Linked DNA regions of Drosophila melanogaster. The protein of the gene in region 2 purifies or fractionates together with the protein of the main gene of each other region. This does not show direct contact. Each region holds a gene or a part of one and is shown on either strand. Other genes may lie near its edges.

The links.
Region 1: the proteins of sub (region 2) and Grip71 purify together in Drosophila melanogaster (affinity purification with western blotting, with the first as the bait; one study listed by BioGRID). This does not show direct contact.

Annotation. Positions count from the first base shown.
Region 1 is NT_033779.5:18,700,007-18,716,687, forward strand, and holds Grip71 (Grip71), read left to right. Parts: upstream 1-8,839; 5' UTR 8,840-8,931; coding exon 8,932-9,121; intron 9,122-9,180; coding exon 9,181-9,475; intron 9,476-9,537; coding exon 9,538-10,379; intron 10,380-10,434; coding exon 10,435-11,048; 3' UTR 11,049-11,291; downstream 11,292-16,681. Other genes in the region: CG10341 (uncharacterized protein), read left to right, coding at 1-582; CG10376 (uncharacterized protein), read right to left, coding at 1,621-2,907; CG10343 (uncharacterized protein), read left to right, coding at 3,547-3,654, 3,722-3,831, 3,904-4,330; Jwa, read right to left, coding at 4,748-5,371; Faf2 (Fas-associated factor 2), read right to left, coding at 6,527-6,733, 6,791-7,855, 8,110-8,232; Irk3 (inwardly rectifying potassium channel 3), read right to left, coding at 11,331-11,727, 11,998-12,104, 12,183-12,578, 12,946-13,156, 13,300-13,529; CG10348 (uncharacterized protein), read right to left, coding at 14,824-16,446.
Region 2 is NT_033778.4:17,737,299-17,753,953, reverse strand, and holds sub (subito), read left to right. Parts: upstream 1-5,875; 5' UTR 5,876-5,975; coding exon 5,976-6,516; intron 6,517-6,577; coding exon 6,578-7,776; intron 7,777-7,834; coding exon 7,835-7,981; 3' UTR 7,982-8,092; downstream 8,093-16,655. Other genes in the region: Sardh (sarcosine dehydrogenase), read left to right, coding at 1-378; CG5002 (uncharacterized protein), read right to left, coding at 808-1,014, 1,077-1,247, 1,310-1,455, 1,518-1,820, 1,880-2,183, 2,409-2,524, 2,599-2,823, 2,883-3,182 and 1 more; CG10931 (uncharacterized protein), read right to left, coding at 3,899-4,936; Ir54a (ionotropic receptor 54a), read right to left, coding at 8,093-9,853; Vps50 (vacuolar protein sorting 50), read right to left, coding at 10,509-10,902, 10,970-11,082, 11,141-11,464, 11,521-11,631, 11,688-11,853, 11,911-12,242, 12,307-13,164, 13,222-13,539 and 2 more; PIG-A (phosphatidylinositol glycan anchor biosynthesis class A), read left to right, coding at 14,405-14,506, 14,576-14,821, 14,889-15,126, 15,183-16,036. UniProt on the Drosophila melanogaster protein: Required during female meiosis for bipolar spindle formation in the absence of the centrosomes and chromosome homolog segregation. Also has roles in male meiosis and mitotic divisions of the early embryo.

The DNA.
Region 1 (16,681 bases), on a different chromosome or scaffold from region 2:
CAATTTGTGATCCTCTCCAAGCTGATGCAAGTTCGAGGATCGGATGCTTCGTGGGAGCACGATGTAGAACCACCAGCCCGCTACGTAGATCACTCGGATGATGAAGAAGAAAGAGAAGCCAGGGCAGAGCAGCGAAAGCGCCGCCAAAGGGATCGCACAAACTCCACAGATTCCGTGGACACGGTAACCTCGGTGGCCACGACAGCCACTAAGGCTTCTTCAGTTGCTCCTCCTCCTCGTCAACGCGGACGTCGTGGGCAACGAGAGAGTTTCCGCCAGAGCCAGCGACCCTCCATTAACCAGCACAACCAGAATCAGCCACAGGACGAACAATACAACTTCCATCCAAGCTACAATCCGGGCAGCTGGCACTCCAACTACTACCAGAACTATCACCAGGCAGCGGCTAACTTTAACATGGCTCAGCAGCATCCTGGCATGCCCTTCCCAGTGCCTAACTATGGCTACGGAATGCCCTACGCCATGCCGCCCATGTACCCACACATGTACCCGCCACCACCACCCTTTGCTCCTCCTCCGCCGAACAACCAGTCACATCAGGGTCAGCCGCCACCCAGCTAGAGATAGGTATGACAATTCAGTGAATTACTTTTATTATTCCAATAAAAAATCTTTATCAATTTGCGTGTGTGTTGTTAAAAATGTGTCCTGGGTTGTTCGATAAAATGCATGAAAGGTTCGTTGGATTTGTATAAAAAGGTACTTAATCTGTGTGGGATCATTAAATACGGTTACGGGTGTAAATATATACGCGTTTAACTACGATATATGTGTACCTGGCTACATGGCTTGGCTTATTATCGTACAGCAGGAAGCACTAAGCGGCCGAAAACAACTTCAATGTGTATAAATATGCTTGCTGGCTAATCTAAAATATATGTAAACATATTTATGTGCGTAATTGTGCACTTTTTCTATATACTATTGGGCTAACAACAGTTGCCTTAACTTGTTAAAATTTCGTTCAACTGCTGAGCAACCACAAAATATTTTGATTGAGCTTATTCGAGCAACCAAACAAGTGGACCGGGATGGGGTCATCCATATTCAGGACCACGTAGGCACGTGAGAATGTGACAATAAAGGTAGGAGCACTCCGAACAGCTCCAAGCTATTTACATTACAACAATAACGTAAAGTAAACGAAACAACAATGGGCCGGTTTGGGTTAATTCTCGTTGATTAATTTGCAAATGTAGGTTCGGAAAGTAATCTTTGGGCATATTATTAGTTTTTAATTAGGCAAGGACTTGGGTTCTATCATCTTGTAATACCTTATTTTCGTTGTATCACATTAAACGATTGCGTACGTTCAATAATCTTTTAGAAAATGGATTATATTACTTATATTCCCACAATATGCATGCCAATATCAAGTGTATATTGCGTTCTTGAATTGTTTAAAAATATTTGGCACATTTTTCTCTTTCGAATACGTAAAATTTGATATGACTTTTCGTGTTATCCCACCACACAAAGGGCGTTGATTCAAGATTACTTTTCGCTTCTACGACTTTTAAGTTGCTTTGAATTTGTACAAAATTAACCCATCCCAAGGCGGGTAACAATATAAAAAATTTGCTGCTCGGACCTAAACTTTTAAAGATGTTCGATCTGATGTCGCGGTTTGAGCAAAACCACCACCGCTGTTATGTTATCCTGGGAATCCCGCTCCTTGGCAGCCTCTATCAGCAGTTTGGGAATGTCGTCCAACTTCATTGTGGTATCCGCTAGGGAATCGTAAACGGTTTCGATTATGAGCGACTCGGGCACATGATCCCACAGGCCATCGGTGCCTAGTACGAGAAAGTCGTGAGCCTCATTTAACTGCACATCCACGAAGTCCGGCTCTGCGATCACTGCCTCAAGGCTGTAGTCGCCAATGGAGCGGGCCACGTTAAGAATGCCATTTACACGCCACTGCCCCTGGGCGTGGAGCACTGTTCCACCAGCTGTTTCTATTCTCTTGCGCTCATCCGGATTCTCTGGCTTGTGCGGTTTCACCAGCTGCAGTTGAGTCCGCTTGCCCACGAGAAGGGCCTTGGAATCGCCCACCCAAGCGATATAAAGCTGATCCTTTGTGATCAAGGCACACACGCTGGTTGTGCCGCTGGTGATCTTCTTCTGGGTGAAACGCTCGTCGGCCAGCAAAAATGCCGACTCGAAGGCATTGCGATAAAAGTCTGGGGAGAATGCAGCAGGATCTGGATTTGCTTTAAGCTGATCGGCTAGCAGTTGTGGGAGTTGGCTGGTTGCATAGGTGGCGGATAAAGAGCCAGAGTGACCATCAAAGACGCCAAAAAAACGGGTGGTCTTGTCCAGCAGCTCGTACATTTCACCAAATCGATCCAGGCAAACACAGCGATCCTCCATTTTGCGGGGTTTGTTCTTTACAGCGGCAGATGTGTGCAGGGGTTCTTTCTGCTGGTGGCACTCGCAGTTTTCCGGCGCCGCCTCATCAGCGAAGTCCTTGAGGCGATCCACCTCCGAGTTGTCGGTGAGTTTTAGGATGTACTTCTCAAACTCACTGGCCACGAACTTCTGCAGCTTGAGAAGATCGTACTGCGGCGGACCCTCCACGGTGACTTCACACTCCTTGGCAAAGCACAGATCCTGCTCCAGCTGCTGTGTGCTTCGATGGAGTAGCTTAATCCGGAACTGCGCCGGACATCCTCGAGTCTCCAGTTGTTTCCAAATAGCTGAGACCAATTCGGCATGACGCTCCTCGCCGGACACTTTGTATGTCTCATTGGCCGTACGAGTTACACAACTCCGGCTGACCACCTCCTCGCTTACGGCTGCTGCCTTCTCCGCCGTGCTGACCAGAAATCGCTTGAATTCCATCAGGTGCGCACATTCCGATGCGGGAATCGCATCTGACGACATACTTGTCGTGGGTCGCGTGTGCCTCAGTTCCTGTTTCCGCTCCTAGTGACGCCGCGCGATCATGAGCTTATCAATGCTAATTGTTGCTCAACGATGATTCACGCGCGCACTGTGCATTTTATGATTTTTTTTTATGTTGTTATTGTTTGCGTTCTTCTATGTTATTCTGCTGCGAACTGAACTGTACTGGCTCGATAACTTTGCTATGCCTATCGAAATAGATGCGTGATATTCCCACCTACGAAGATTGTTTACCCTTCATCTTCGGTTTCATCTATTACGCTTCATTTCTCTTTTTATTTATTTTTTAATTTTGATTGAAAACCTTTAACTGCATTTGGAAACATAAAAAAAACTTCAGAAGTATTTTAAATGAAATAATAGAATATATTTATAAACATAATTTTAATCAAGCCTTTACAATAAATAACAAAAACACCTATTTAGCCTTTTTAAGGCTTCGCATGCGGACCCAGTGGAGACAAGCTATAACTGATTTGAGATAGAACGGCCACACATCCACCGGTGGCCAGCTGATTGTTACTGTTGCTTTTGTTTTTGTTACAAATTTTGATTTTTGTCTTGTTTAACAAAAAATGATAAAATCTTGAACAGTAAAGATAATCCACACAATTTACTATGAGCACGCCACTGGAACAGCAGACGGAAGAACGGGAGGCGTTGCAGTCAATATACGAGGGCGACACGAACTTCAAGGAAATAGATAGCGTCACATTTCAGTACAAAGTAAGCCACATGGATAAAAAAAAGCACACAAATATGATAATTTGTAATATAATAAATGAAATTTTAGTATGGCGAAGAGGATAACTACAAGTCGTTCTTGGTCGAGCTCAAGTGGGGCGAAAATTACCCCGATGAGGCGCCAGCGATCAACATGAACGCGTTTTACAATAGGAATCTGTAAGTGGATCGTTATTCCTTGGGAAATTGGAGCAGGTTTAGCTCTAAAGACTACGCTTTCCTATTTAACAGACTGCCAGCTGTCAAGGAAGGGATCCAAACGGCTCTGAGTACGGAAGCGGACCAATGGCTGGGCTGTGGCATGACCTATACCCTGTTCGAATGCCTTAAGGACAACCTGGAGCAATTGACCGCAGAGCAACCCGAATCTGCACCCACGGTGGCGTTAGTGGATGATGGCGTGGGTGCTCTAAAGATCTCCGATCCCAATGCCGATGCGGAGTCCAAGAAAAAGGAGCCCAAGAAGGAGCACCTGACTAAGGCGCAAAAGCGCCGGCAGTGGGAGAGAACCGATCACAAAGGAGACCGGGAACGTGGCTGGGATTGGGTGGACCTCGTCAAGCATTTATCGCAGACGGGTGGGAAAAACGATGATTCTCTCACTGCCGCCGAAATTGCAGCGTCCAACGCTCCAGCTCTCCACCCCCTGAACAACTAAAATGCCTACCAACTAAAAATAGGAGTAATAACATCGAGGAAACCTTAAATTGAAATCAAAAGCCAATACTATTTTATGTGATAGAATAAACGCGAGTAACTGCATGGGCGGCTATCATAAAGTCTATATCTTGTTTACGCTACTAACTATCAAAGGTTTCAACTTTTGATTTGGGTGAGAGGATTGGCCCTTATAAGATAACATTATCTTTAGAGGAGCAACACAGCGAAATTCCTGGGAAAACTTTATTGACATTTGTAATATTTGCGTTACATGATGGCTGCATAAAATCATAGTTTAATACAAAAGTAAAAATCAAAATCGATTACAATACCGGGATTTGCTTTGCAAGGATCAACATTGACAAGGATAACTAGCGATAAAAACGATCATTCCAACTGTGTCAAACTGGTCAGTCTAATTAAAGACGCCTTCGGCCCGGACATTTAAGGCATCCAGCAAGGAGCCCATGGGCGTGGAGGGAGCAAAGCTCTCGATGCTGTTGGTCAGCTTGTTCTTGATGTTTCGCAGTCGCAAGGAGGCGTGGATGAAGGTCAGCGAAATAGGTAGCAACACGGTGAAAATCGTCAAAAGCACTGCGCTCAGCAGATGCAGAAGAAGATAACCTCCGAGCAGAGCTCCAGCCAGTATGTACCATTTCTGTTGGGCATTCTGCTCTGCTGCATTGGCATTTCCACCAGTCAGACGACTGGCGATGAAGTTCTTCTTCGACTTTCCGCTGAAGAACTGCCAGATAACGCCTATGATCAAAGCCTGCACCAGCAGACCAGTAATAATCTTTGAAGGATTGAAGAAAATCATCAAAACGTAGATGGTAATGAAGAGCAAAAAGTAGTTTGTTTGGTAATAGAGCAGGTTCTTCACCACCCGATTGCCCCACTTCTCAAAATCCTTGAGATTGGGCAGTTGGAATCGGGCCGATCCCAGGATGAAGTCATCGAGGGTTCGCAGAGGCGGCAACTGAAGATTGCCGGACAAGGCGGCGGCTGCATCGCCCACGGAAGTGGAGGGCGTTGTCATGGTTTTTGGGTTATTGCGGATGTCCTGCTGGCTCTTGTCCTGCTGAAAGAGCTTCTGATAACTCGGTTGACGTAGGCTCCGTGCGACGTTGCGAACCTCCTCCACGTTGAGCAGATTAGAAGTCAACTGCCGAATTTTCAGCCGCAAGCCAGTGGTTGCTGATTTTCCCCTTTTCCCGGGCAGCAGACGCGTTCTCTCGTCGTCGGTGAACCAGTCGTTATTGTCCTCTTGCTCACTATTATCCTCCAATCCTCGGAATTCCAGCGTATATTCAGATTTTCACACGACTCCGTCGTGACTTTCGTGCTGACTAACAAGCAATGACTATAGGATTCTGGAGGTGGACTCGTGACTGCTGCCGTGAGGGCACTCGACGCACTTTTTAACTTTACCTTTTTTAATCAGTCGCTAGCAATTAAATTGTCAAATCAATTGACATTTCATCAATTAAAATATTACTTGAATAATAAATTAAATTTTAGGCCATAAGTACGTGAGTCGCAATAGCCCATCACCATGAGCTATCGATAGGTACAAATGGCGTTGCCACACCAAAAATTCAAAAATATATTTTGAACTTAAATTTGGTTTTTCCTTTGATATTCAGTAAACTTACGAGAAGCCCATATTTTAGAAAAGCACTTGTTTGGTGTTTTAAAGTAATATCTGTATAACTATATTTTTTATGATCAACTGTCCCGAACTTGTGTATTTGAACGTTCTCACTTTAAATGATTATTTATATCTTCAATCTAAACTCAAATTCAAATTGAATTCAAGCTCTCTGTCAAATAACAAGAATGTGCCTCTATTATTCGTTAAATAGACGGAAGTATAAGTACAGCTAACATAACAACGCATCTTAAATAAAAAGAACTAAATTGTGGTTCACGGAAATTATTCTGGAAACGATTTTTACTGATGTGTGAATGTTTGAGAAACGGGTTGGTTGATGGTGTTGGGCAGATCAGAGAATCAACCTAAACATTGTTAAACAATTATTAATATTAATGTTCATGATTAAATTAGGAATAGTTTCTCTATTTATCCTCCGACTTGGACGTTGACTACGACTACTTAAAACTTGGTTCAAGTTTTGGTAATGCGTTGCTGCTGGTAACACGATGATGCTTTCATTTGGTAGGTGGTGCTTGGTTACGCTTCCAGATCGTTAACGAACAGCACCTCGCGGTTCTTGAGTCCTACGGCCTGAAGGGTTTTGGTCAGCGTCTCCTTGGCTGTGCCTGTTTCCCCAGCGGCATCCAAGTTCGCTTTCGAGAAGAGCACGCGCTTCGGGAAATTCGTTGTGATCTCGAACTCATCCGGCGAATCGGGATGGCAGAAGAGATAGTGATAAACGTCCTGCAATAACATCAAATCATCAATCCCAAATTAGCAGTTTAAATTTGTGTAACTTACAAGCACCGAATCCGTCTGGTTAAATCGGCGCTCTAGGCGTGTTCCACTGGGCAGCTTGAATACAACTGCAATGGCGCCGACAGCATCCGCTGCCGGCTCGGATGGCACCAATGTGGCCAGCTCGATCTTTTGCCGGGCAATCTCCTCCTTGCGAAGCTCGACATCGCGTCGAGCTTGTTCCACAGCCTCCTCCGCCTGCCGGACGGCATCCCGCTCCCTTTGCCGCTGACGCTCCTTCTCCTCGTCCGCAAGCAAACTCTGCTCGTATGCCTCGTCCTGCTGTCTTCTTAAAGTCTGTGTAAAATTCCGCTCTAAGCGATCTGCACGCGCTTGACTCAGCCACACCTCGTTGGCGTTCGTCACCGACTGGAGGCGACGGAGCAGCTCTTCGGGCGTGCAATCCCCCTCGAAACGTCCGACGATCATCATGCGATTTGCTCGAAGGCTGATCATCACCATCGTTGGGTAGCTGCGCACCGTTATCGACTGCATCACCCGGTAGCCCTCCGGCGTGGCTACGTCGCATCCCCATAACAGGGTGTGTGTGTTAATGTAGTCAATGACCGATCTCGCCGACAGTGTGTTGCGGCAGAAGGATTCCACATCTGGGTTCTTGGCGGGATCCTTGTGCAGGTAAACGATTAGAAAACGCAGCTCCTGCTTAGCATCGTTAAGGGCCTGGGCATATGTGCCCTGATAGAAGACCGGGTGCTCGGGATACCTTTCGTAGTATTCCCTAATAAACTTCATCACATCCCCCAGTGGATCTGTCACCAAGCGGGCTTCGTTTCCTCCGCCCAGGTTCACAAACGCACTGACGATGCTCGTCAGCGTGGAGTAGAAGTACTGAAACACGAAGTTAATCACATATCCAATGATGCCGGTGAAGCTGCGGGGAACGGGGCCACTGGGCACCCGGCTAACCGTCCTTCCGCCAGGCATGTTGGCGGAAAACACCTGCTGCAGGAAGCGATCGTTAAGGACAGCGGGCGCTCGGACATCTGTAGAGGCGGCGAACATGGTCGGACGCCCCTCGCGGATATTTAGCTGCTCCTGGAAGGCCACCTGCATATGTAGATATGAAAAAGGGTAAATAAGCTGGTATTTAGTATAGCAGGGCGCCCAACGCAAAATTGTAAAAAACAAATTTAAAAAGAATTTAGAATAAAATGATTACTATCTTTAGTCGTCAGATAATATATATGTACAAAACTTGTTGGTAGTAGTATTCTTGCAGCCACCACTGTATGCAAGACTGCAAGACTACGTGACCCTGTTATTTTGACATTCACTGTGTGGGCATATAAACATATGCATACCTCGAGATCCCATTGGTGTCTGATTAGGACGTCGCGGCAGACGTTCATATCCTCGATGCCGGTGAGATCCTGGAACTGGAGGACCTTCTCCGTCTGTTCGTTGGTCAGTCCATCAGCTTCCATCTTTCCTGCAGTTGAAGGCCTCCGTTCCCAGTTGTTATCGTTGTTGTTTGCTTTTACGCAGTGCGTGCGTGTGTGTGCTTGTGTGGGTGCCAATGGCCCGTGACTGTCTCCCTGGTGTTGTTTTTGTTGTAAGCTGGCCTTTGTCCAGTGGCTCAGCCGCTGCGGCGGGGGACGGGGGATGAGTAGCGTGGTCACTAAATGCTTCTACTGGTCGCCAGGAGTCATTTCAACGCACGCCAAATTGCCGCACTACAACGTCTTTAACATTTCTCGGCAATTTATTTCTTTTTCGCAGGTGATTGCTTGCTCTTCTTCTTGCCTTTCTGCCAATGATCCGATGAATTTGGTTGTGAATGACTAGTGTGACCGCGCAGGCCGACGCGTTCTCACTGCGAAATCCAGCGGCAAACAAACAATTTGTGTTCGCTTTTTAAAAAATTATTTTTATTATTTATTTGATCTCTATGCCTGGCGTGGTAAAACACAGAAAAAGATTAAAAGCAATATTGATATATAATTCAAAGGTGTTAGATAAGGACAATGTGTAGTGGAATCAGCATATTTGTCTAACATCACTTGGAAAATCGACGGACGAGCTTTGGAATTTTCAGGTAATAAAGCAGCGGGCACATTCTTAAATCAGTCCGAACAAAAGCACTCAAATTTGAATTGTGTAAATATCTGAAGAAATAAATCAAAATGCATGTTATTTCCACGTCTAAAAAAACCGTGCTCTCCGACTTCGCGGATCTGGAGACAAAGTCTGAGTATGTGCACCAGAACGCAGAGCCCACGGACTTTCAGTTCAACGGCCAACGCCGGGTCTTCGTGGAGGTGGATAAAATGGCGGGCTTGGCCGTGATGCGAATAAAGGAGAAGGATGGCAAGAGTAAGAGAGAGGTGCGGATCCCCAAATCCCACGTATGTAATTAACTTCCCATTTCACAGCGCCCGAGATTCAACGAGTCCGTAAGCTCACCATCGACAATGCCTTCTGTGTGGCGTGCGCCAAGCAATCCCTGGAAGAGATCGCTGTGGGTCAGAGCGGTTGTGTTAAGCTATACAACTTTCGGACGGCACAGCTCATCCATCGTTTTCCGGCGGACCCGCAAAGGAGTACTGTCCTCTACATGGACTACAACAACACGGACGAGTATATAGCCGCCGTGCGCGATGGCGGGGACATCAGTATCTTGGGTACCAAGACCAAACAGAAGACCAACACCTTCACCATAGATGGCGAGTAAGTTAAAGGCTTGCTTGTTAAAGGATTGCATTGATCTTTCGCTATCCTGTTAATATCAGCTCTACTCTTGTGCGCTTTCATCCGAGCAAACGCTTTCATCTGTCGATCGCTTCCTATAAAGGAGCCGTGACTGTCTATGATGTGCAGGGAATGCGAAAGATTTTTCATGCCAGCGAAGCCCACAGTGCTCCCTGCCGGGACATCAGTATGTGCACATCCCAACCGGCACTGCTGGTCAGCGTGGGCTACGATTGCAAGATAAATATCTTCGACATTCGACGAAATCGTGCTCAGGCCTCTACGGATCGCTTGACCTACTCGCATCCACTATCGACGGTGGCGCTGAGTGAATGTGGCACTTATCTTTGTGCTGGAAACCTTAAGGGCGAATTAATAGCCTATGATATGAGGAGTACAAAGGCTCCGTTGGCCGTGAGGAGTGTACATGATGCGGCTGTAACACGTGTAGCCTTTGTGCCCGTGCCAAGTGGGGATAACCAGCAGAACGGTAGCCTCAACAGCTCCGAAAATGCAACTGGTTTGGCGACCGAAGCTCCTCGTGTAGAGCGTGCGCCCAGCGATGAGTTGCGTAAATCGATTGCCGCTAATTTGTTGAGCACCCAAAACCAGCTGACCAGTCTTGGTTACGGGGTGTCAACACCTACCATAGTTCGCCGGGATTCCTTTTGCGAGTTCCTGGATGCCCAAGGTCCAAGAGCTGTGGATCGCATGTCGACCCGCTTGGGCGCCTCTTACAGAGATAGTTTTGACTGGGAGACGCTCAACCGAAAACCGCAACCTTATGAAACTGCCAATCGTCAAAGTCTTTGTCCTCCAGTGGCGTCTGGCCCAAGCTCGGTGGATAACTCCGTCAACAGCTCCACCACGGAGTCACTGCAACGCAAGTTACTGTAGAGATTATTATTTTTTAGTTATAATAAGCTTATTACTTGCAGAGACCTTAAGCGGCCCACTGAAGGATCGGAGCAACATTTCCGGAGACGGAAAGCTGATGAAGATTGCCGAGACGGACGAGCTCTGCGAGGAGCAGTCTGCCAACATTTCCGTGGCCAGCAGCACAGGAGGCGGCAGCGACAAAGAGAATCCCCCGCCGGTTGACGCAGAAATGAAACGCCGTCTGCGCTTGCTTTCGGCCAGTCGAAACAGTACCCCGCACCATGCTAACATCACACCACAATCCTCAAATCCTCTCTTGAAGCCTCAGCAGTTGCTGGCCAAATCGTCAAGCGGACTTTCCGCCCAAATGGATGCAGATTGGCGCAAGGAATTCAGCGAGCTAAGAGATTTTGTAGACCAGCGCTGCGAGAAGGTGGAGCGCGAATTGGAGTACGTTACCTTCTCTAATCAGCGGCTATTGGCTAATAAGATGACCAACTACATGGACCAGCAGGTGGAAAACACAAGGGAGATCCGGGACGCCCTGGCTTTACTACTTCAAGGAGATAGCTTCATGCGCGAGTTCTCGCGCCTACAAAATGAAAACGAAATGTTAAAGGCCAAATTGAAGTTTTACCAGGAGCAGGAGCAAACTGAATCATGCGGAGAGTAAAACGAGGGGGAGACATGTTAATAATTAATTGAAACATTGTTATTATTGTATTTAATTTATTGTTATTATCAACTATTAGTAACATTTTTCAAAATAGGTTTTGGCGTCTCATGAGTTTTATGTAAATTTTAATTCGTTAATCGATCCATTTAGATATTTTACAAATGTTTTAGAATATTTACCTCGGTCTATAAAATGTTTTTGAATTCGTTATTAATATAGTGCTGCCAAAAGTGTAATGCGATAAGAAAGCTTCTTAAAATGTATTTTTTAAAACCCTTTTCACTTTCTGTACTCTAGCTTTAAGTGATCATTTTTCGGATTCGTCATGGGCATGTCCACCGATATGGTCCTGTTGAAGTTCTCGTAGTCGACAATGTAGCGCTCGTTTTGGGCGTCGTAATGGATGATATTGACGAACCGCTGGCCCCAGAAAATCTCCCTTGGCAGATAGGACGTCTTGGCCTCCGTCATCTGCGCTGTGGCAGGCGAAGTGCCCACAATGGACACATACAACTCAAATTGGGCAGCATTGAAGAGTTTCGCTGTGGTGAACTGAGACAACGGGCTGGTCTCATCGATGACATGGCACACCACATCGGGCCAGAGAATAATCTGCTCCCCATTCCCCTCCAGCTTCAGTTCCACGTGACTTTTTATAGTCTCACCCTCGCGCGTGCTGTCAGAGAAATAGATAAGATGGGGGTTCGTATTAATTGCTTGTTTTATCCAGCAGCAAGTACTATCTGAATGGAAGGTCAGTTCATTTATGACTTTCCTTATGACTGGGTCAATATTTCAGGAGTCAAGTGTGATTAAATTGTTTCTATAGCATTTATAAATATTGAAAAAAAAACGTTGAAGATCAAGACAAAATAGGAAAATATACCCAAATTAACCGCGGATTCTTAAGTTCTATGATTTTCCCTAAAATGCGACTGTGACTCACCGTTTGTCCACGATGATGTAGACTCGTATCTTGGACTCGATGGACTGCTGCTCGCGGGGATCACAGACGCGGAAGAGCAAACAAAGCCTGCCGTCGCGATAACAGATCTACGTGAGATAATCGCTAAAGGATGGATCCGAATGGTTGGGTGTACTCCTCTCGCCCAGTGGAGGCATTTTACTTACCACCGCCTTATCGCTGAACTTCAGCTTGGTCAGCTGCCTCGCCGGCCGTGCGGTCTTGGCATAGATCACGCTCACCATACAGCCCTCGATTAGGGCCGCACTCAACATCTGCATGACGAACAGGAAGATCGTCTCCGGACACTCCTCGCTGGCGTATTTTTCGCCGAATCCGAGGGTCGTCTGTGTTTCCACAGAGTATATGATCATGGCCACCCAGCTGTGCACCCCGTAGATGCAGGGATCCACGCCCTCGCCCATTCGCTTGCCACTTACCGGATCGAAGATGAAGTCACCGTGCGAGTAGGCCACCACGTAGCAGAGGGCGGCGAAGAGCAGCCAGCTGAGGAAGTAGCTGCCCAGGAACAGGGTCAGCATATACTTCCACTCCAGTTCCATCTGCGCGATTGGAAAGAAACGACCTTTATGGATTACCAATGAATGAAAATACGACCCATTTTAATATCTTTACTGTGTATCCCTTCAATTTAGCAAGTGAATATGTGGTTGGTTAATACGTATTTATTAATATGTGTGAGTATTTTAGTCGGTCATGGCTTGATCAATGTACTACAAACTATATGCTGAACGTGACGCGCTCGTTTTGGTTAGGATTAGACTTCGAAAAATGGGGACTCAGGTGCGGTGGCTCATTGGCCAGTTCATCGAGTCTGCGCTGAATACTGGGCGTTATGCTATACACATCCGATCGCGATTGATCGGCCCTGGGTGTAGACGTTTTCCTGTGTCCGAACCAGGATCTTACCAGCGTGGTGACCAGATCCCGCATGTAGCGCCATGACTTCTCCGGAATGCGGCGGAACACAACGTTCTCCTTGCCGTTCTTTTCCATCACGCGATTAAGGCTGCGTCTCAGTCCATCGGAGGAGGAAGTCCGCGGTCCGGATCCCAAATCTGGAGTAAGCTCAATCGTACTGCCCGCCCAGTCGTGTGCGTAGGGGAAACTAAACGTGGGACTTATATTATTATTTATATAAACTTGTAGGGTTTTTATAATACCAGAAAAGTTCATAGAAAATAAAGGTTTTCGTTTCTTAGTATCCATAGTCATTATAACAACTATCTGATTGGTAATTTCTTTTGCCTAAACTCAACTCACTTTTGCTCGCTGCGTGTTTCCAGGTGATCGCCGGCTGCTTTTGACCTTCTGCGCCGTACGAATCCCGGACTCTCCGGATAGTAATCGGACGCATTGACCGTCTCCTTTTCGGAGGAACGGAGCAGTGGCTTCTGCTCCAGTGGCTTGGGCTTCACCGGCATGGAGGTTGAGCGATGCATGGTTAGGGAATCCGTGGCAGCAGCTCCCAGGGGAGATGCGTCCGATTGCATGACCGGGATTCAGCTATTGCCGCCTACGTCGACGCGGAATCACTGACGAGAGCGTGGCCTATAATTGTCGGAAATTTGGGGCAATTTCACTCGAACGCGTAGATCTGCGTTTTAATTTTAATTGAATTGAATTAGGCTGCAGTGGCCCACGGCTACGATTTATAGTGAGAGCGAGAGCTCAACTTGATTGCCTGACCGCTTGACACTGACTAAGTCCGCGTCCATACTATCTGCCCCTTGAAGATGTGCATTTGGATTTATTTATTATCTTGTTCGTTGGGCATATGACAGCGGTTGTCCGCCGCCCGCCGAGATTAGTGCCTCGAAATGTGCCCCAAGATCTTAAGTAAAAGTCGGACGCTATCAGTGTATTTATTTTGCGAACGATCAAATATTGTCCTAAGTCTGGCAAATATTTCACTTTTTATACGTCGGGAGGGCAGCACAATCTTTTGCATCTGCATCTCTTGACTGGAAGTTGATAGTAGATAGTTGGTAAGATATCCGGTTGCGTTTGAATTTGCCGCCCACGTAATCGATCGAGGCACTTGTGTAAGAACATTTTAAGGACAGATAAGGATACAACTTTAAACTCTCTCTGGAAACTTTTATAATATAATTGCATTTAGTTTCCTTATTTGTGATGATAACAGTCATGTTACCTAATTTCTCAAGCTAAAAATAAAATATTAGCCCAGATTAAAAAAGAAAAATAAATCTTAAAGATTTGAATAGCTCAGATCACAACCAGACTGGTTGGGTTCAAGGCTAGATCTATGTATGTAAAATTCGTCGTAGAATCAATGTATAATTCATACAGAGAAGAGAATGTCGAATTTGAAATTCGTTTTTTTTTTATAAAACCAGACCCAGTTAAAATTGCTCTTTATTTTAATTTCAAAAACTTGTAACTTTTTATTTAAACAGTGGGCGCGTTGTTTTGTTTGTCATTACTTTTCATACACTTTTCGTCATGTCACGCTCGTATATGTACAAAAGAAATACCAATGCTTAGGACGAATCTAATAATAGTTATGCACATACGTTCATATTTATTTATATTAAAATATCTGCCAATTCTCGATTTGTACAATTCGATTTACACGTATTTGTAGAACATATAGGGGGGTTTAGGGATACATGTATATATATATATTTACAGCTAGATATTAGACATAGTTTTAGGGATCTGCTCCTCAGCTAGGTGTTAGACATACATAGTTTAGAAACCTCTTCGCCTCCATCCGGCTCCTCTGCTATAGGAAATTTGTTTGCTGAAATTGATTTTACGTAGTTAGGGTACCTCTTCCTTGATAGATGTTGTTTGGGGCGTCGTCATCGCGCTGTCTGCGGTAGTGGTGGGGAAGAGCTTGGAGGTAAGGGTCCTCTTGAGCTCCATGATCGGCTGCGAATCCTCCTCCTCTTGGTCTCTGCTGGACGATGGTGCTGCCGTGTCAGCCGTCGATGTTGCCGGCGCATGGTCCGCCTCCTCGTGCGAGGATGTGGGCGTGTCCCGCGACGAGGAGCACGAACTGGACGCCGATGTTGCGGTTGACTGATGCTGTTGCTGCTGTTGGTCGTGCTGCTGCTGTTGCTGCTGCTGCTGCTGTTGCTGCGTGACCTTGCCCATGAAGCTGCGTATCTCCTCGAAATAGGATTCCTCAGTAGGATTCTCGCAGAATCTGCGTATGCAGTGCATCCTTTCGCTCACGCCCGACAAGGCACTCAAGGACACCGCATCCGACTCGTGCTTCTTGAGGTGCCTGTCCAGATTCGTCTGTTGGCCAAAGCATCTCTCGCATATCTCACACTTGAAGGGTCGCTCCTTGTTGTGGATATTCCGCACATGGCGCTGCAGATTCGAGGATATGCTAAAGGAACGTTCGCAGTATTTGCATTTGTAGGGCTGCTCGCCCGTGTGCGTTCGCAGATGCCGCGTCAGGTTCGCCGATCTCGGAAAGACTTTTCCGCAAAACTTGCAGGTGTAGCGATCCTTGTTGCGTTGCGGCAAGTTTGGCGTGGCATTGCCCCCGGTGGCAGCTGTTCTGGCCTTGTTTTTCCTCCGCGTCTGATAGTCCTGCAGTTGCGGATGCGGCAGGACCGGCGACAACTTCGGGTTCGGATGAGGCAGCTCCAGTTGCAATTGCTCTGTGGGCGGTGGCCAGGTGAGCTCGCATTTCTTGAGCGGATGCCGGAACGGGAAATCCGCGCCCGTTGGACTACTGGAGGCCGCCGGACTGTTCACCTTGCCCGGCAAAACCCCAGCGAACACATTGCGATACTGCAAGGGCAAGTTCTTGGTCATGGCTTCTAGGAGTGTGGGATGTACGGCAGGTATCGAACATTGCGGTGGTGTTAAGGGCGGTGCGTTGGGTGGTCCACCACCGCCTCCTCCTCCTCCTCCTCCTCCGCCACCGCCACCTGCACCACCCTCTCTCAAGGCCCTCAGCATTTTGCGGCTCATATCAAAGCCCAGGTCGGCCAGCGATGCTGCGATATGGTTGTTGTTCAGCTCCTTCTCCTTTTGCTGAGCCACCGCCAGTTCACTGGCGAACATGATCAGGTTGCTGTTCTCATCCTCCATGGGTCCTTGATCCACCAGGTCCGTTTTCCGCTTGTGTGCCAACCGCAGATCCAACGGCTGATCGAAACTGCTTCTCCGCTTGCCCTTGGCATGGTGATTTAAGGTCTGGTGTTGCTGGTGGGAGTGTTGGTGCTGCAGCCGCCCAGTTGTCGTTGCCGACGTCGTCGTCGGCGACGTTGATGACGAGGATGTGGCCGCCACCGACGCTGAGGAGGCCAGATCATAAGGTACGTGTGATATATACGATGTGGGTATTAATCCTAAGGCAGGGTATACGCAGCCCTGTTTCGGGCTAGGAAGCATCTTTCTTGGTGAGTGGTCTTTCTCTCTCATAACTCTCATTAGTCGCGAACGGGCGGTAACCGAGTTTTTCCTCCGTTTTCCTGCGTTGTCTTTTTGACTTCGATTGAATAATTGATTGATTGGTGGAATGGGGGTTCGATTGATTGCCCAGGCTGCCAGGTTGCCAAGCTGTAGGTTTTAGGTTTTGTGCTCGCTTTCTCGATTTTCAATGCGTCTGATGCCAAGGATACTCAAAATGATTCTGTTTCAGAACTGCCTTCGACTT
Region 2 (16,655 bases):
AAAACGGGTGCAGATTACCGTGGCAAGGCGGCCATCGAAAATCAGCGAGCTGAGGGCCTAAAGAAGCGACTGGTCTACTTGACGCTCCGGGATCAGGTGCCCATCTGGGGTTTGGAGGGAGTCTACCGAAATGGCGAGCCCGTGGGCATACTTAGACGAGCTGAATATGCCTATACCCTTGGAAAGTCCCTCGGTCAGACATACGTGTCCCGACCAGATGGCAAGATCATCGATGCTGATTACATTCGGAACGGGGAGTACGAGGTGGACATCTTGGGCAAGAAATACCGCGCCGACTGTCACTTGCGCAGCCCATTCGATCCTACCGGCCAACGGGTTCTCGGTAACTATGCATCCGAGTCCAAGTCCAATAAATAAAGATTAGTCTCTTCCACTTCCAAGAACTCGTTTACCCGGCATAGGGAATTTCTCTCAACCTTTCTCTTTCTGGCAGGGCACGACGGTATTGTTGAAGTGCCTGCCTTAACATACATGTAGGGTCATAAATTACTTTCCCCATGAATATGAAAAGGTTCGAAGAAAGGTCACGGTGTAGGCAGACAGGCAGTCTGCGAAGTGGTCACCCGAAATGGTTGCGGTTACGGCTCAATTAATTTCTGTGTCCAACTATTATGACATCATTCTCGGTTTCCGCGAAGGATATGCCTTTCCAGACGTAATTCTAGAGCACTTGGACACCTCGGCCAGACAGAGGGTCGCCACTCAAGTGGATTTCTTTGCTTAAATGAAATTTCATATAATTGTGATATTGATGCAATACTTTCAGCTTATAATAAACTAGGTTCTTCAGGCCTCGATGGTTACGGTGGAGGCCGTATTGGAGGGACTATCGAAGTGGCCAGCTACCACCTCCTCCAGCGATAAATCGAACTTGAAGATGGGACGGAGATCGTTGTTGAGTCGGCAGACGACTCCGGCGGAGGCGATGTTCCAGTTCCAGCAGATCATGGCGCAGTTCAGTGCCTCCAAATCGCCCTTCATCGAGACAATATTCTATATATGGGGATGCAAACATTATTATCAATCAGATTGTGTGCTTTTAGCGGCCCACTTACCATAGCCACTGTATAGTCAATGGAGTTGATCTCCTCGCCCTTGATAACCACCAACTGGGTCTCGCCATTCTGGTTGTTCAGGAAGCGCACCACCTTCTCCTTGAGATACTCAGCCGATGCATAGTCCAGCTTTTGCTTCACATCCACCACGCTAACTTCGTGACCATTGATCTGGTAGATGATATATGATTTGTTAGTGTAAATTGCATCTAGATAAGATAGGATAAGCTCACCTTCTCCAGTTTGATGTCTACATGTGGACGTGCACTGCTATATAGAATGTATACCATGTTGGCACCGATGCCACACAGTATTCCGTACTCCAGACTCCAGAACATGCAGGTGAGTACAGTGACCACAAAGGGAAACAGATCCTTCTCTGGAAAGTTAAGACAGAGCGTTAGTAGTAATACCTACAAAACTTTATCAGCATAAACTCACTCTTAGATTTCCACATGTCCTTAATCTTGTGCAGCTCCACTAGCGATATCATCGCCGCTATAATAATTGCAGCCAGCGTGCATTTGGGTATAAAGTAGAAAGTTTGGGTAAGGAATGCCAGTGCCATGAGCACCAGGGCACCGGTGACAGCTCCACCCAGTGGTGTCTTCACCCCACTGGCATTATTCACAGCCGTGCGGGTAAAGGATCCCGTTACGGGCATGGAGAGCACAAAGCTGCCCATGATGTTGCACATTCCCAGTGCCACCATCTCCTGCGATGCGTCTACAATTTTTCCCTTAGCTGAAAATTTAGAATTCCTTAGTATAAATGGCTTTAGAACTAATTCAAATTATACTTACAAAATGCCTTCGATATGGCTACTATTTCCAGGATCGAAATCAAGGGGATGGAACCCAAGGATGCGCCGACAGTGCTGATCATCTCGCCAAAGGAAACGTACTCTCCATCTACGGTGGTGCTAAAGGGCGGCAGCCGGAAGGGCGGTACTCCGGCCGTAATGTTTCCAGTGACACGGAAGGGTTGATTCCCATCTCGACTGAGGATGTAGGCCAAAAAGGTGCCAAAGATCACAGCCAGGGCGTTGCGGGAGAGACCAAGGTACTTCCAGAATATACGATTGCCCCATTTGATGTCTTTAACACGCTGAAAGTATATTACATTTGTAAATTAGTGAATAATATATATAATATATAATGCAACCATCAAGTTAACTTAAGTTAATAAAGCAACTAATTCTGAAGAGCCAAATTTATGCTGTATCTTAAGGTTTTTAACCCGAAATCAAAATCAAGCGGCTGCAAGAATTTTGTTGATTGGCTTAAATTGATATTGAAATTTAATAAAATTTCGTTTTTATTTTCTTCTCACCGTCATGAGCAACAGGAACACCAGAGATGAGACACCCAGCAGGGCATCCCAGAGCCTAATTGACGTCAAGTGGGTGAAGAAATTCTTCCAGGCGGGCAGTAAATCATTCGAAGGACCTATTTTCAATGCATTTCAATGTTTCAGGTAGTTTGAAATTTCTAGAAAATAAAAAAATAATTTCGCAACTCACTGGTCAGACCCACGATGTTGTTGATCTGGGCACTGCCAATTGTGGTGGCCGCCGCCATGGTGAAGCCAGTGATTACGGGAATCGAAATGAACCTGACCAGTACACCCATGTTGAGCAATCCAAGTAGAAGTACAATGCAACCAGCTAGGAAACACACCAGAACCGCATAATCCGGACTGATAGTGGCATACTGGTTGACCATTAGAGCCATGATGGCGGTTGTGGCTAGTGGATGTTGTGAAATTAGCACTGATAGCAGAAATTTACCCCACATCTGAACTCACCAATTGTGACATCTTTGCAGGAACCAAACACGATGTATGTGAAGCAACCCATGAAGGCGGAGTATAAACCATACTGCGGCTCCAAGCCGGCCACCACTCCATAGGCAATCGCCTGGGGAATAGTCGTTAATCCCACCGTGAATCCCGCAATAAAGTCCTGCATGATGTACTCCAATCGGTAACGAGGTAGCCACTTCAGGATCGGGAACTTGTTGGTCACGGTGGACGGACGGCACAGCTTACGACCGCCATCCCTAATAAGCGTGCTCACATTGGGCAGTTGCTCCCGGTACAGATTATCTGCGAATTCAAAACAAGCCTTGGATAAGGAGTATTTAAGTGTGCCAAGATAACCCCTCCCCGTGCGGGGCTAATCTTGCCTGGCAGCAACTTGTTCGCACATCTGTCGATCAGTGTTTTATATTGACTTTGGGCTGGTCATCTTATCGCCAGACAACCTGGGCTACCCCACGCAGATAAGGTGCATTCAGATACTCTTTTATGAATTGGCACGTATTTTATACGATTACAGCCCCCACAATCGCTGGAAACGCATCAAATCAATTGACCCTGATCGCCGCGATCGCTGCTTCCGGAAAAACCCCTGGAGCAGTTACTCACCCTCATCGGCTCTCATCGCGGGTGGCTCTCCAGCTTTAAACCGGGCTGTAGTTCCGAGAACGATAGGGAAACCGGCTGCGATGCAAAGGCAATGGCTGTAATCAAAACCGGGGAGCTAACGCGTCCGCTCAGTGTGCTGCTCCAAACGCGACTGCCGCTCCGATCGCCGTCGTCCAACGGCTTTAGAGACCGAAAGCAATCGCGTTCGCACATTCTGGCCATATAAGATTTACAAGCGCAGGTACCGGTGCCGCCATATCATGTTCGCTCTGTTAGTCCGTTGATAAACAATTACAAAGACAACCTTAATATTTGGCTAATGACATGGCCGGCTTATTTATATAAAGAAAATAATTACAAGCTAATGAGTGGAGGAATTTTGTTGATTGTTGGAACTACTTCTCGCTGCTCTTCCAGATTTTAATGGCATATGAATTTTGTAGGGCGCCGCTAGCAATCACATTTGCCGTGGGATGGCAATGTGTGCTCAAAATCTGGTCGCCCTCCGTGCTTATCTTTTGCACCAGCTCCCTCGTCTGCAGATTCCAGATGCAAAGCGTATTATCCTCGCTGCCGGAGACAATCCAAATGCCGCCGGTGGTGGAAAAATTGGAGTTGGAGCAATAGAACTCATTCAAATGCCCGCGATAGGTCCTCATGCACTTGGGCTTCTTGTAGTTCCATAGCCTAAGGGTGTTGTTCAATGTGGACGACAGGATGTAGCGTCCGTTCGGTGAGAACTTCACATATCCGACCGGGATGTTGTCAACGTCAACGAGAGTCTTCAGCACATGCCCGGTGCTAGAGTCCCACAAGCGGACCAGCCCATCATAGCTGCTGGTGACAAAAATATTGCCATCGCGGTGGAAGTCCACCGATGTTATGGGATCCTGGTGGGCGTGGACGATTTTGAGCGTTTTGCCAGTGCGGACATCCCAAAGGCGCACTGTTTCGTCAAAGCTAGTGGAGGCCAGCAGATTGGCCTGCGGATTAAAGCAGCAGGAGAAACTGTACCTGGAATGCCCCTCCAAAACTTTGACGCAGAGCTTGCTGCGGGCATCCCAGAGACGCACGGTCATGTCATCGCTACAACTGGCAATTAATCCAGCCGCCGACCAGGCGACATCGTTGACTCCGTCTCCGTGCCCGGCCAGCGATTGAATGCATCGGGTTGCGCTCAAGTCCCAGAGCTTAAGCAGCCTATCGCCGGAGCTGCTGACCAAGTTCTCGCCATTCGAACTAAACTTTAGACCAGTAACGCAACCACTGTGACCGAGGAGCGAGTGCTTAATGGCGTAGCCCGGAGACATGGAGTTCTCCAAATGGAACTGACTTGGTAGCATAGGCATCTTAAAGGAATCGAAAGCGGCCTCCGGGATGGCGATTTCAGTTTCGGAATCTCCAGGAGTCGAAGCTGTTTCAATCAATTCCATAATTTTATTTTTTTCGCCCAATTTTAATTTCTTACGAATCCTGCGAAAAGTTCGAAAACTTGGCGATGATGGTGACAGTTCCTGAGTTGACAAAAGCTTGCTGATATTTTGTAAAAAGGGTTTTCATTTCATCATTTACCCGATTATTTTTGGCGCCCAGTTTTAAGTTTTTATTATTTTTTTAAATTAATTACCTACAAATGTTGAGTCTGTTTTTAATTATCGCGAGAAAAAGTACACACGTACTGATAATTCATTAAACACTTTTTTACAATATTTGTCTAGTACATACAATTGTTAATTGTTTCTACAACTACTTATAACTCATTTAGTCAATATTTGTTTGAATTCCCAGACAGGGGGCGTAAAAAATCAGACTGGAAAAAGTAAACAAGCCCAATTAATTTGCGTTTTAAGGGAGTACTTATTTGGCGACAGGGTGCTCTATTTGCGCAGCCTGTTATTGTTATGCTGTCCAGACTTGTTAACCAAACATTAAACAAATGGCCGGTGCTGTGCCGTGCCGGCAATTTGTCACCTAATTATTTGTCGACGCTGCTAATCTTACATATGGGCAAAATTGGAGAATGCGCGATAATCAAGTCAGTGAACTTAATATTTGCATGGTAATTTAACAGACTTAAAGTGAATTTTTAACTTAAATTTTAGTAACATTTGGATTTTAACTGCACATATATGCCTTTATTATTTTATAAAGTTTGAATCAATGAATTTTTATACTAAAAATGTGTGCTAGTACTAGAATGAATTGAAATTATTTATAATAACTGGAACGTGTTGCTATCGATTTTTTTTTGTCAAAATTTATCTTTTTTATTAAAAATTGAATTTCTACATTAAATGTTATTGATGGTATTTTGTAACGGCTAATTCAAATGATCAACGGTCACACTAGCCAGTGGAGCTGCCAGCTATCATTTGAAATTCAAGTAAAGTTGGCAGCCCCCTGGCGTCTGAAAAATAGCGCGAAGTGAAGTAAACTAAAAAGTATCCCTTCAACCCACATAAACAGCGCAAAATGGACAGCAAGGAGGTTTCGGAGGTGCCAAGGCGGGAGGTGCGCTCCTTCCTGATGGCCCGGGATCCCTCCATCGACCGCCGCTTTCGACCGCGACCCAACAAAAAGATGCGTCTGTTTGACAACATTCAGGAGTCGGAGGAAGAAAGTTTTTCCGAATACTCGGACACGGAATCGGAGTACAAGTACCAGTCGAGCGAGGCAACCGAAGGGGCCTCATGCGCTACCAGTGCGGCAGACAGCAGCAACGTGGAAACGGGGCCACAGGTCTTCCTGCGCTTGCGTCCCGTTAAGGATGCATCCAAAGCCTACATAGTCTCGGAAGAAGCAAATGTGCTGATCACTAGCTGCAAAGTGGACTCGACCAGCAACAATGTGAACCGCATGGAAAAACACTTTGGATTCACTTCCATCTTTGACAGCACCGTTGGCCAGCGAGACATCTATGATACCTGTGTGGGTCCCAAAATTATGGAGGAGGAATGTGTGACCATTATGACATATGGCACATCGGGGTCTGGAAAAACGTATACCTTACTGGGTAAGCGAAGAGGACTTGCAACAAGTTTGCTGGGCAATTGTTAATTTAAATCCATTTTTAGGCGATGATGTGCGTGCTGGAATCATTCCGCGTGCCCTGGAAAACATATTCACCATTTACCAGGACACCGTCTTCCGATCGCCCAAGCTGAAGCTAATCAATGGCAGCATCGTGTTCTTGCAGGACGACGCCTCGCTGAAAGAGCTGCAGATTCGGAAAAAACTTTTAGACTTATGTCCGGATATCAGTGCCCACCATCAGCGTCTGAAGCAGGTCATTGATGGCGACCACATGTTCGAAACGAAGGCTTCCACCGATGTTTCCGTCTTGGTTTGGGTGTCCTTCGTGGAGATCTACAATGAACTTGTGTACGACCTGCTAGCCATTCCGCCGAAACAGGACAAACTGGGGGAGGTGCCACGAAAAAACCTGAAGATCGTGGGCAACAAAGGCCATGTGTTCATCAAGGGTCTGACCAGTGTTTTCGTGACGAGCAGCGAGGAGGCGCTGCGTCTGCTCCGGCTGGGCCAGCAGCGCTCCACGTACGCCTCCACCTCGGTGAACGCCAACTCTAGTCGGTCGCACTGTGTCTTTACCGTGGACATACTAAAGTACAATCGGTCGGGCATCACCACACAGAGTTCGTACAAATTCTGCGACCTGGCGGGTTCGGAACGCGTCAACAACACGGGTACCTCCGGCCTTCGTCTCAAGGAAGCAAAGAACATAAATACGTCGCTGATGGTGCTGGGTCGATGTTTAGATGCGGCCAGTACAGTTCAGAAAAAGAAAAACGCCGACATCATTCCATATCGCGACTCCAAGCTAACAATGCTGTTGCAGGCTGCTTTGCTGGGCAAGGAGAAATTGGCCATGATCGTGACAGTTACCCCTCTGGATAAATACTACGAGGAGAACCTGAACGTCTTGAACTTTGCTTCCATCGCCAAGAACATCATCTTCAAGGAGCCCGTAATTAAACAGCATCGCGTCAGCTACTGTGGTTTCATGGAATTCTCAAAGATGTCGACGTGCGAGGGCGGCGACTACACCAAGGAACTTGAGGACGAAAACGTGCGCCTGCAGTTAGAGATTGAGCAACTGAAGTACGATCATGTGCTGCAAATGCAGCTGCTTGAGGAGAAACTGCGAAGGGAACTGACTGCCACCTACCAGGAGATTATCCAAAACAACAAGAAGCAATATGAAGACGAATGCGAGAAAAAATTACTAATTGCGCAAAGAGAATCAGAATTTATGGTTAGTAAATATAACAATATAATATAATAGTATATAATATAAACTATATATTTAACAGCTTTCCTCTCAACGCCGAAGGTATGAAGAACAAATAGAAGACCTCAAAGATGAGATAGAGGAACTTAAGAATCCTGCAAGCGACACGGACATTTCTGATGATCCAAACGAATCTAAGTCTCCCATCGAAATCCTCGATGATGATTAGTTTCTTTAATTCACAATTTTTAATTTGTTAAGTGTTAGTGATTTTAAAATTTAAATTTGAAACTTGATATGTTGCAGAGTTGGCCACGTTTTCCAATAAACATGTGAATGATCAATAAACTAGTGACACAAATAATGATGTGATTCTGTGCCAAGAAACTTCGAGCAAGAATACCAGAATCGCAATTACCATAAATGTTCCGTACGCCTGCCACATCCACTGAAAATCCACAATCCTTAGCGAGGTAGGGTGCTCTCTTTCCTTCAACTGCAGGCTGGGATCCTCCAGACCGGACAATCCAGCTGCTGTCATGTCGTAGTAGTGCATTCCCACCCAGAAGTCATAGAGTCCATTGGCATTTACCTCCAAAATAAGTTGGCTGACGGGCTCTGTGAACAAGGAATTCTGCGGCCATTGGAAAGAGAGCAGCGCCAGGGACCACAGGCAGTCATCCGTGGAGTAGATAAACAGCTCTCGGGTGAAGCGCTTCTGCTGCTCACTGAACAAATTCCAATACAGTCGGGAGGCGAAGTAGGCATTGCTTGTGTTCCTTCCATTCCTCAAGTGATTGTACTCACTCACATTGACCACCAGCATGGGCACACGCAGTTTCATCCATGTGGGAAAGTCTTCCTCGGTCGTAACCAATGGTATTTTCGTGCGACGCAGACCAGCGAAACTTCGTGCTTGAAATTGCCGTGGTGGATGAGCCATTAATGTGTCCAGTCCCGCTCCAAAAATGCTGCTCACATTAAGACCCACTATTCCAAGCATCAGAAATATCAACCTGGTGGAGAAGCTTCTCGACAAGGGCAAATTGAAGGATTGGCCCAAGATTCCGCGTAAAGCTTTATCATTTAGCACAAAGTCCACCAGACGCACATCGCGATGGGTCATGTTTCGAAGGAGATTCAAAGCCAATCCATAACTGGAAACAATAACAATAGCCAGGAACATATTGGAAGCACTGCTCAGGATAAAGTAAATATCCTTAATTGGAATTCTTCTGGCCACCGGTACCATAAGGCAGACGTGGGTCACCTCCATCGGATAGCTTGTGCTGGCCAACTGCTCGACTCGCTCCATTATCGTCAGACTGGCAGGAACATCAACTGAAAAGCTCTCGCTCAGCTCCTTGAGGGCAGTGGCATTTAGAAAGCGCCCGGTGGTCACCTTCTTGGACAGCTGCAGCGTGGCGTTCAGCTTCCACGACAGCACGTGAAAGAAGCGTCCCACAGATCCGGCTAGGATTTGCTTACCCGTTCGTCTGTCCACGTAGAGAACGGAACGCGGAAGCCATTGGTCGGGCATAACAGTAAGAGGGTGACCGTGCATGTTGGGAAAATCCTTGTCGAATATGGTTGAAGATTCAAGAGAGCGATACTCCGTTCGGAAGCTAGGATATAGGTGATATCTATAAAAGTAACGATGTTCATCTGAAGCTAAAAGTCCAACAATGTTCCAAATTCGGCGATGATAGCACGTTTCGAAAATATAGTCCATTCTAGTTGGATCAGAGAAATTGTTTGATATATAGACAATCTTCTTCTGACTCGGAAAATCCATTAGCGAACTCGTAAAGTTTTCGAGTAACGCCAGGTCCTTTTGCAGCTCATGTCCAGGCAGGCAAGCTACGTGTAGCGGCCGAGAAAACATCCGAATGTTTATAAAAGTCTCGCTATCTGAAAGGACAACCACTGGAATGGTTTGATTCTCAAAGATATCCTTTGCCCAGTTGTACGGACAATAATCAATACGAATCATTATTACTGAGAGCGAGTGCTCCGCTGCTGCTCTAAAGATGAAGTCCACAGCGGATCCCGCAACCAGGACGGGTGCCCATAAAACTATTCCTGTTATCACTGTCCACATGTCCTTTCAATTATGTTGCCCATCAGACTTAGCTGCTTTATTTATATTGTGCGGGAACTGCTCCAAGTTGAAGGGAAATGCCTTGTCAAGCTTTTCACGCCCTCGATGATAAGACACAATTCGCATTGTTTGTAATATGCATATCTCAAAATATGTATTCTTTGTTATTTTGTTACAGTTGCTAAATAGTTAATGGTGTGTGATCGTGGGAGGCGCGCAAATCAAATCGATACGCTGCCCCTTACATTTAAGTTGTTTTACAATTATTTGTCTGTTTCCTGCTGCAAATAAATATTACAAATAAATAGGTATCTTAATTATACGTGTTTTGTGTGTACATATATATATATATATGTCTGTTTTCTCTAGGTACTTAAGTCATGGTGAATGGTAAACCAATTGCCAATTATCAATTAGAAAGATTATAGGATAGATTGCACTTAAGGAGGGTTTGGGAGATTCTAAATTTGAAACGAAGTACTTCATGGAGATCGCCTGTATAACTAAGGTAGAATCATTAGCCTTAAACACAATGTTAATTTGAACTAAACGGAATGTTAATTACACGTAAAGAATGTCATGAGATTGATCTACTAACAAAGTTAGTTTGGGGTTATAACAAAATAAATACAATTAAATAATCGTTCGGGGGAGCTCAGATAACGCTGCTTAAATTTGAGCCGGCTACGGATCCGTGGTTGTTCTTCTGCGGTGTTGTTGTCGGCGTCGTTGACATTGCTATTCCATTTTGTATTCCAGCGTCAAGCAACTGTAGCAACCTTTGTCGCGTGCGTTTATCGCTGACACAAATACAATGAATAAGGTTGTTCAATTGCTTGAGAGAGTATTCATCGCCCGTACGCTGCTGTTCAATCCATTGCTCGAACTGTTCGGGCGCAAAATAGTAGGTCTTGATGAACACATCCACATAGGAGCGATGCTGTGGGTACTTTTGGTTCGATATGAGCTCTAGGAACGACATAAAGTTCGCAAAATCCAGTTGCATAAGCGCTCGTCCTCCGGCAGAGCATTTCTTCACATTGGAGAACCTATAACATAATAAACAATAACTATGTAAAATCAGATCCTTCTGAGAAATAGAAAATAAGAACGTACCCCTCCACCAGCAGATGCGTGGCCACATGGGCCATTGAATTCCACACTTGCTTGCTGGGCACTGGAACCTCCTTGGCAATTTCCTCCAGACACATGGCGAAGCTTTGTATGTTCTGCATATAAATGTGGTTAGTTTGTGTAGTGTATTAAGCATTATTTAGCATTTCCCACCCTATTTAGAACATCACTGTAGTTGCTGTGCTGGTGTATCACATGATTAACATCCCATTTGACCTTGGCCATCTGAGCCAGAATGGATGACAAATCGATGACGCGCGACGTGACGCATGTGTAAACGAGTTTAGCCAAGTCCGCAATATAATCGCTATAGTCCAGGTAACTGGCCAGGATTGGACGCTCTGCAAGGGGCAGCAAGTGGTTCAGATAGTGCTGAAGGACGTTGAACTGCTGAAGCATGCTGCGACCCGCTTCCACGGCCACGATGCGTTGTGACAGTCCGTATAAGGTATCCGGATTAGCTAGCTCATTATTTGCCTGCAAAAGGATGATTTAATTAATTAAAGCTCTAGGAAAATAACATATAATATTACCAGAGAGGAGAAATTAAGGGGCCATAGCTTGATTTGTGGCAGAACGTTAACCTCGACCGAGCGTAAACGTTGCTCCAGTCTAGGAGAGTGCATATTATCCGTTGCTACCGGCTGCAAATATCAACAATTAATATATCTTCAAAAGTGATTGTTATAAAAATATTTACCGCATCTTTTCCGAAGATTTCGTGCACTGCGTAGACATAAAAGTCAATGAGCTCCAGGATGCAAGCCACAATCTTGGGAGAGATGCAGTGCAATAACTTGCACATCTGCAGATATCTTCCAATGACGCGCATCACATTTAGCGCAGTGTTGTTTACCAGCAGCTGGCTAAAATAAATTTACATTTATTATGATTTCGCGGTATAATAACCAAGATAATATTACTTGCTGGCGTCATCGAACTCCTTGCTTTGCAAGCTTTTCTGCTCGTCATCGCTCTCCTCGCTGAAATAACAGGAGGCCTCGTCCACAATGCCGGATAAGATGTCCTCCTCCAACATTGCTGCATCCAAGCCACCATCAAATGGCGAACTTTTTTCGGAGAATCTGAGAAAATATCCGTAGGAACCGTAAATGGAGCTGCCACCATCCTGGGAGTGCACGGAAACCAGCTCATCGCAGTTATTATTGCTGATCGGGGAGTTGTTGGATGAGGCCAGCAAAGCAGTTGTCGGAGACTTGTGGCGCCGAAGAGTGTGCCGAACCGATCGGAATTCCTACAGAGAATTACATGTAGATAACTTAACCAGTCGCTTTAATGGCCAATTTAAAATTACTTACAGGCAATTGCAGGATATGCGCAAATGAGTCGACTTGCGTCCAGGACTCGTTATCCAAGAATAAACAGATTTCCTCAATGCAGCAGATATGGTAACGCCGGAAGAACTCCTCGCTCTGCTGCTGCATCGTCTCGATCAACTTCTCCGACTGCTCGCCGCAGAACTCCAGACCCACCTTCTTAAGTCTTTGTACCACGGACAGCACTTGGATGAACTGATCGTATTTAAGAGCCGTCAACTTTGCCGACTGCAGGAACAAGCACACTTTGGTCAGAATGTCATTCCAAACGCGTGACTGTCCCTTCTTCAGTTTCTGCTGAATGTAAATATCTGGTGAATCCTCCTCCTCCTGTCCATACAACTTGTAGTTATTGTGCCACATAACAACCTGATAGTAGGAGGCCAGAATGGTCCAGAAGGTTTTGCACAAACTAATCAGACAGGGCAGCAGCTTATCCACGCTAAGCTGTTCGCACAGCTGCTCATAGAGCGGCTTGGCCTGATCGTCCTGGCCAGGATCGCTGTAACCGCGAAGCACTGCATTCACAGAAGAGTGAATGGCCGAAATATAGTTGATGTGCAGCTGGTCCATGGCCATCAGTGACTTGTTTGCCAATTTGTAGGCCTCCTGCAGTTTGGCGTATTTTCGCCCATCAAAACCTAGCACCATTTCATTAAGCACAGTATCCAGCTGAAATTCCATAAGCAGCATGGTTTCCTGCAGCTTTTTAGAGAGCGATTGTACACAGTTGAACTGCATGTAGGCCTCGGCGGAGCTCTTGCACTGCAGGAGCAGAGCTATGGCGGCGCTGTAGTTGTGATCCGCTAGCAGCTTCTGTACCTCCACGTCAGTAGTGCGCTGTAAGATATTGTATGTTATTCAAATTGCCCACAGAATCATCAATTCATTTCTGACCAGTCTCTTGATGGCCACCAGGGTGTCCAACACCTCCTTGAGCACCTCTCGTTTGCGGTAGCTGGCCAAGATCTCCAGGCTAGTGGTTGTTAGGTTCGTGCGAGCAAAGTTTAAATAGGATCTCGCCTTTTGGCATGTCCACAGCGATTCCTCCAACTTCTTCTGCGTGTCATTGATAGCGGCAAACTCACTGCTGCAGGCATTCCGCTGCTCCAGGATGTTCTGGAGCACCTGTTTGGTAAGAACCTTCTGCTGAGTGCGCAATTGTGCAATGGTGACCTCGATGAGCTCGTTGTCTATGCCATCGTTGAGAACTTTCTACGGAAGATCGTGGTGGGTAATTAAAGCCACAGCTTACTGGTCTACCTGGTTTACCTTGAGTTCGTACAGCTGTGGATTGCTGTCGGGGTTGTAGTAGCACTGTTCGATGCTCTCCAGGATCTCCTGGTCCGACTTTTGTGCATTTGACTCGCTGGAAGAAGTGGCTGCCGCGTCTGTGGCATCAGTTTCTTGACTGGCGGAGGCGTCTGTGGTCACCGTTTGAATGAAATAATCCGAAAAACCCATGGCAGGAATTTTCATTTGACGGTTCGTCTTTGTGTGCGTGAGCAGTATTTTGTTTGGTGGGCGGAATGCATAGCAACGGGGTTAGTTTTGGGGATTATTTAAATGTTCGATGATCTGCTACCTGTTTGTGCAATATGTCCAAGAATTTGCTCTTGAATTCGTCCATTTTGGCCTTGGAATTCTGCATGATTTAGCCATGAAGAAACCAGCCAAAACACAAAAACGTCTGCAGCCGAGTGTGACCAGCATCCGCAAGCATTGCTAAAGCTACTTGCAGTGTTAAAAAATATATAAAGTTATAGTACCTAGAAAATAGGTACATCATTGTCTACAGACCTATTTTTAGGAAAAACTTTTGCCTTGTTGAGAAGAAAAAGCTTTAAGCACTTTTATACATATTCGTGGCACATTAATTTAATGTTATATTCAAATCGAAATTGGGCCCCAGTACCGATTAGCATTTTCTTCACCTTTCAACACTACTACATCGACCACTCTTTGGCCATTGTGCACACTGTTGTTTTTTGCTTGCCGATTTTTGTTTAACATATTGTATTTATTTGTTTATATGTGGTATGTCAAATTACTGGAAGCCGCAGAACCCAAAGAGTGAAAAATGCGCATCTGCATGGTGTCGGACTTCTTCTATCCGAGCATCGGAGGGGTCGAGGAGCACGTCTACAACCTTTCGCAAATGTTGCTCAGCTTGGGTCACAAGGTGACTATTGTCAATTGGGCGGACCACGAATGATAACGATTATTTGAACTGACTATCTTTGCCCATTAGATCGTCGTGCTGACCCACGCCTACGGAGACTGCAGTGGCATTCGCTATGTGACTGGCTACCTGAAGGTCTACTATCTGCCCATTAAGGTGTGCTACAACCAGTGCATACTGCCCACCGCTGTTTGCAATGTGCCGATGTTGCGAGCGGTGCTACTTCGTGAGCGGGTGGAAGTGGTCCATGGCCACTCTGCCTTCAGTGCTCTGGCGCACGAGGCACTGATGGTGGGCTCCCTCCTGGGGCTAAAGGTAGGCATAATCTTCAATACGAAACGTATAGTTTAAATCGCTAATGAATCATCTTTTTGTTTGGCAGACTGTCTTTACCGATCACAGCCTCTTTGGCTTTGCGGACTTGTCAGCCGCTCTAACCAACAATCTGCTGGAGGTCAACTTGGGCATGGTCAATCACGCCATCTGTGTATCTCACATAGGGAAGGAGAACACTGTTCTACGCGCTCGAGTAGCTAAACATCGAGTTTCCGTCATTCCCAATGCAGTCGACACTGCCCTGTTTACTCCCGATCCTCAACAGCGTCCGAGCAATGATATAAGTATGGGGACTTCGTCGTTTTGTAGTATTTTTAATTAACTTATCCCTACTTTTCAGTCAACATTGTAGTGGCCTCCCGTCTTGTCTACCGCAAAGGCATTGATTTGCTAGCTGGCATCATTCCACGGTTCAAAAACACTCCCAACATAAACTTTATCATTGTGGGCGATGGACCTAAGCGTGATCTGCTGGAGGAGATTCGCGAAAAGACCAATATGCAGGAAAGGGTTCAAATGGTGGGCGCCGTGGAGCATAACAGGGTTCGCGATTTCCTGGTGCGTGGCCACATCTTTTTGAATACCTCACTGACTGAGGCCTACTGCATGGCCATCGTTGAGGCGGCTTCCTGTGGACTGCAGGTGGTGTCCACCAGTGTGGGCGGAATTCCCGAAGTGCTACCCAAGAGTCTTATACTGCTGGCAGAGCCCGAAATTGATGCCATTTACGCAGCGATTCTAATTGCCATCGACCGTCATCGAAAGAGTTCCTTTAAGGTTAGTCCATCAGTTGGCAATGGGCATTTGGCCTCGGACGCTAATGGAAAGGTTAAGCGGCGACGTCGCAGGAAAGTCGATACTCCTATCTCTCCTACACAACTGCCAGCAGTCTCTGCTCCTCCTGCGGATCAGAACAGCTCTACAGAGCCCGTAATGTGTCCATATAGATGTAATGAGTTGGTGGAAACGCTTTACAATTGGGAGGATGTTGCCCTTCGCACAGTAAAGGTGTACGATCGCGTTTTAAATGAACGCTCTTTCACCACTAGCGAGCTGGTGTTTGCGGTGTGGCAGCACGGATCCTGGTTTCTGGTGTTCTTCGTTGTGGCCCACTTCTTAATGCGCTTGCTGGAGCTTTGGCGTCCTCGGAAACACGTAGAGATAGCGCAGGATGTACAACGTAGGGCCAGCTAGCAAACACCAAACGGATTCCATTCTTCCATCAACTAGCCAATTATATATTTATGCGATAGATTTTATAACCCTTGTTGTGTTTATTTGTTGTCCATAGTAGTAGTCGAAGTGATAGTTCCCTTAAACAATATGATAATCCATTCTTATGATAAAATTAACCCAAACGGCGCTGCTGATCTACGCCGATAAAATATTCCGCCCACAGCAACGTTTTTATAAAGAAGACTGTTTCTTATATTCATTTCATTCTAGAATCATAGATTCTAGGAAGCTAAGCTTTAACAATTTAAAGTGTGCGATAATGATTTAAAGAGTCGCTAGTCGATTCTTCAATTTAAAATCTATATTTATTAAAAATATAGTTATTTTATGTATATCTATGCTCAATAGAAATTAACTTTTTTTTTTTAAAGAACCCAAAGGAAATAAATAATCTAGAGAATTTTCTGATCATGTCCGAGTTAAATTTAATAAATTAAAACAGGTTGCATAAATCAAATTTCTTTCAGTAATATGGCACAATCCTGCAATAAAATGTATTACAAAAATGAAATATATAATAAAAATACAAAATATTTCTATTTAAAAAAAAAATCAAATAATATACCGAAAACTTTAA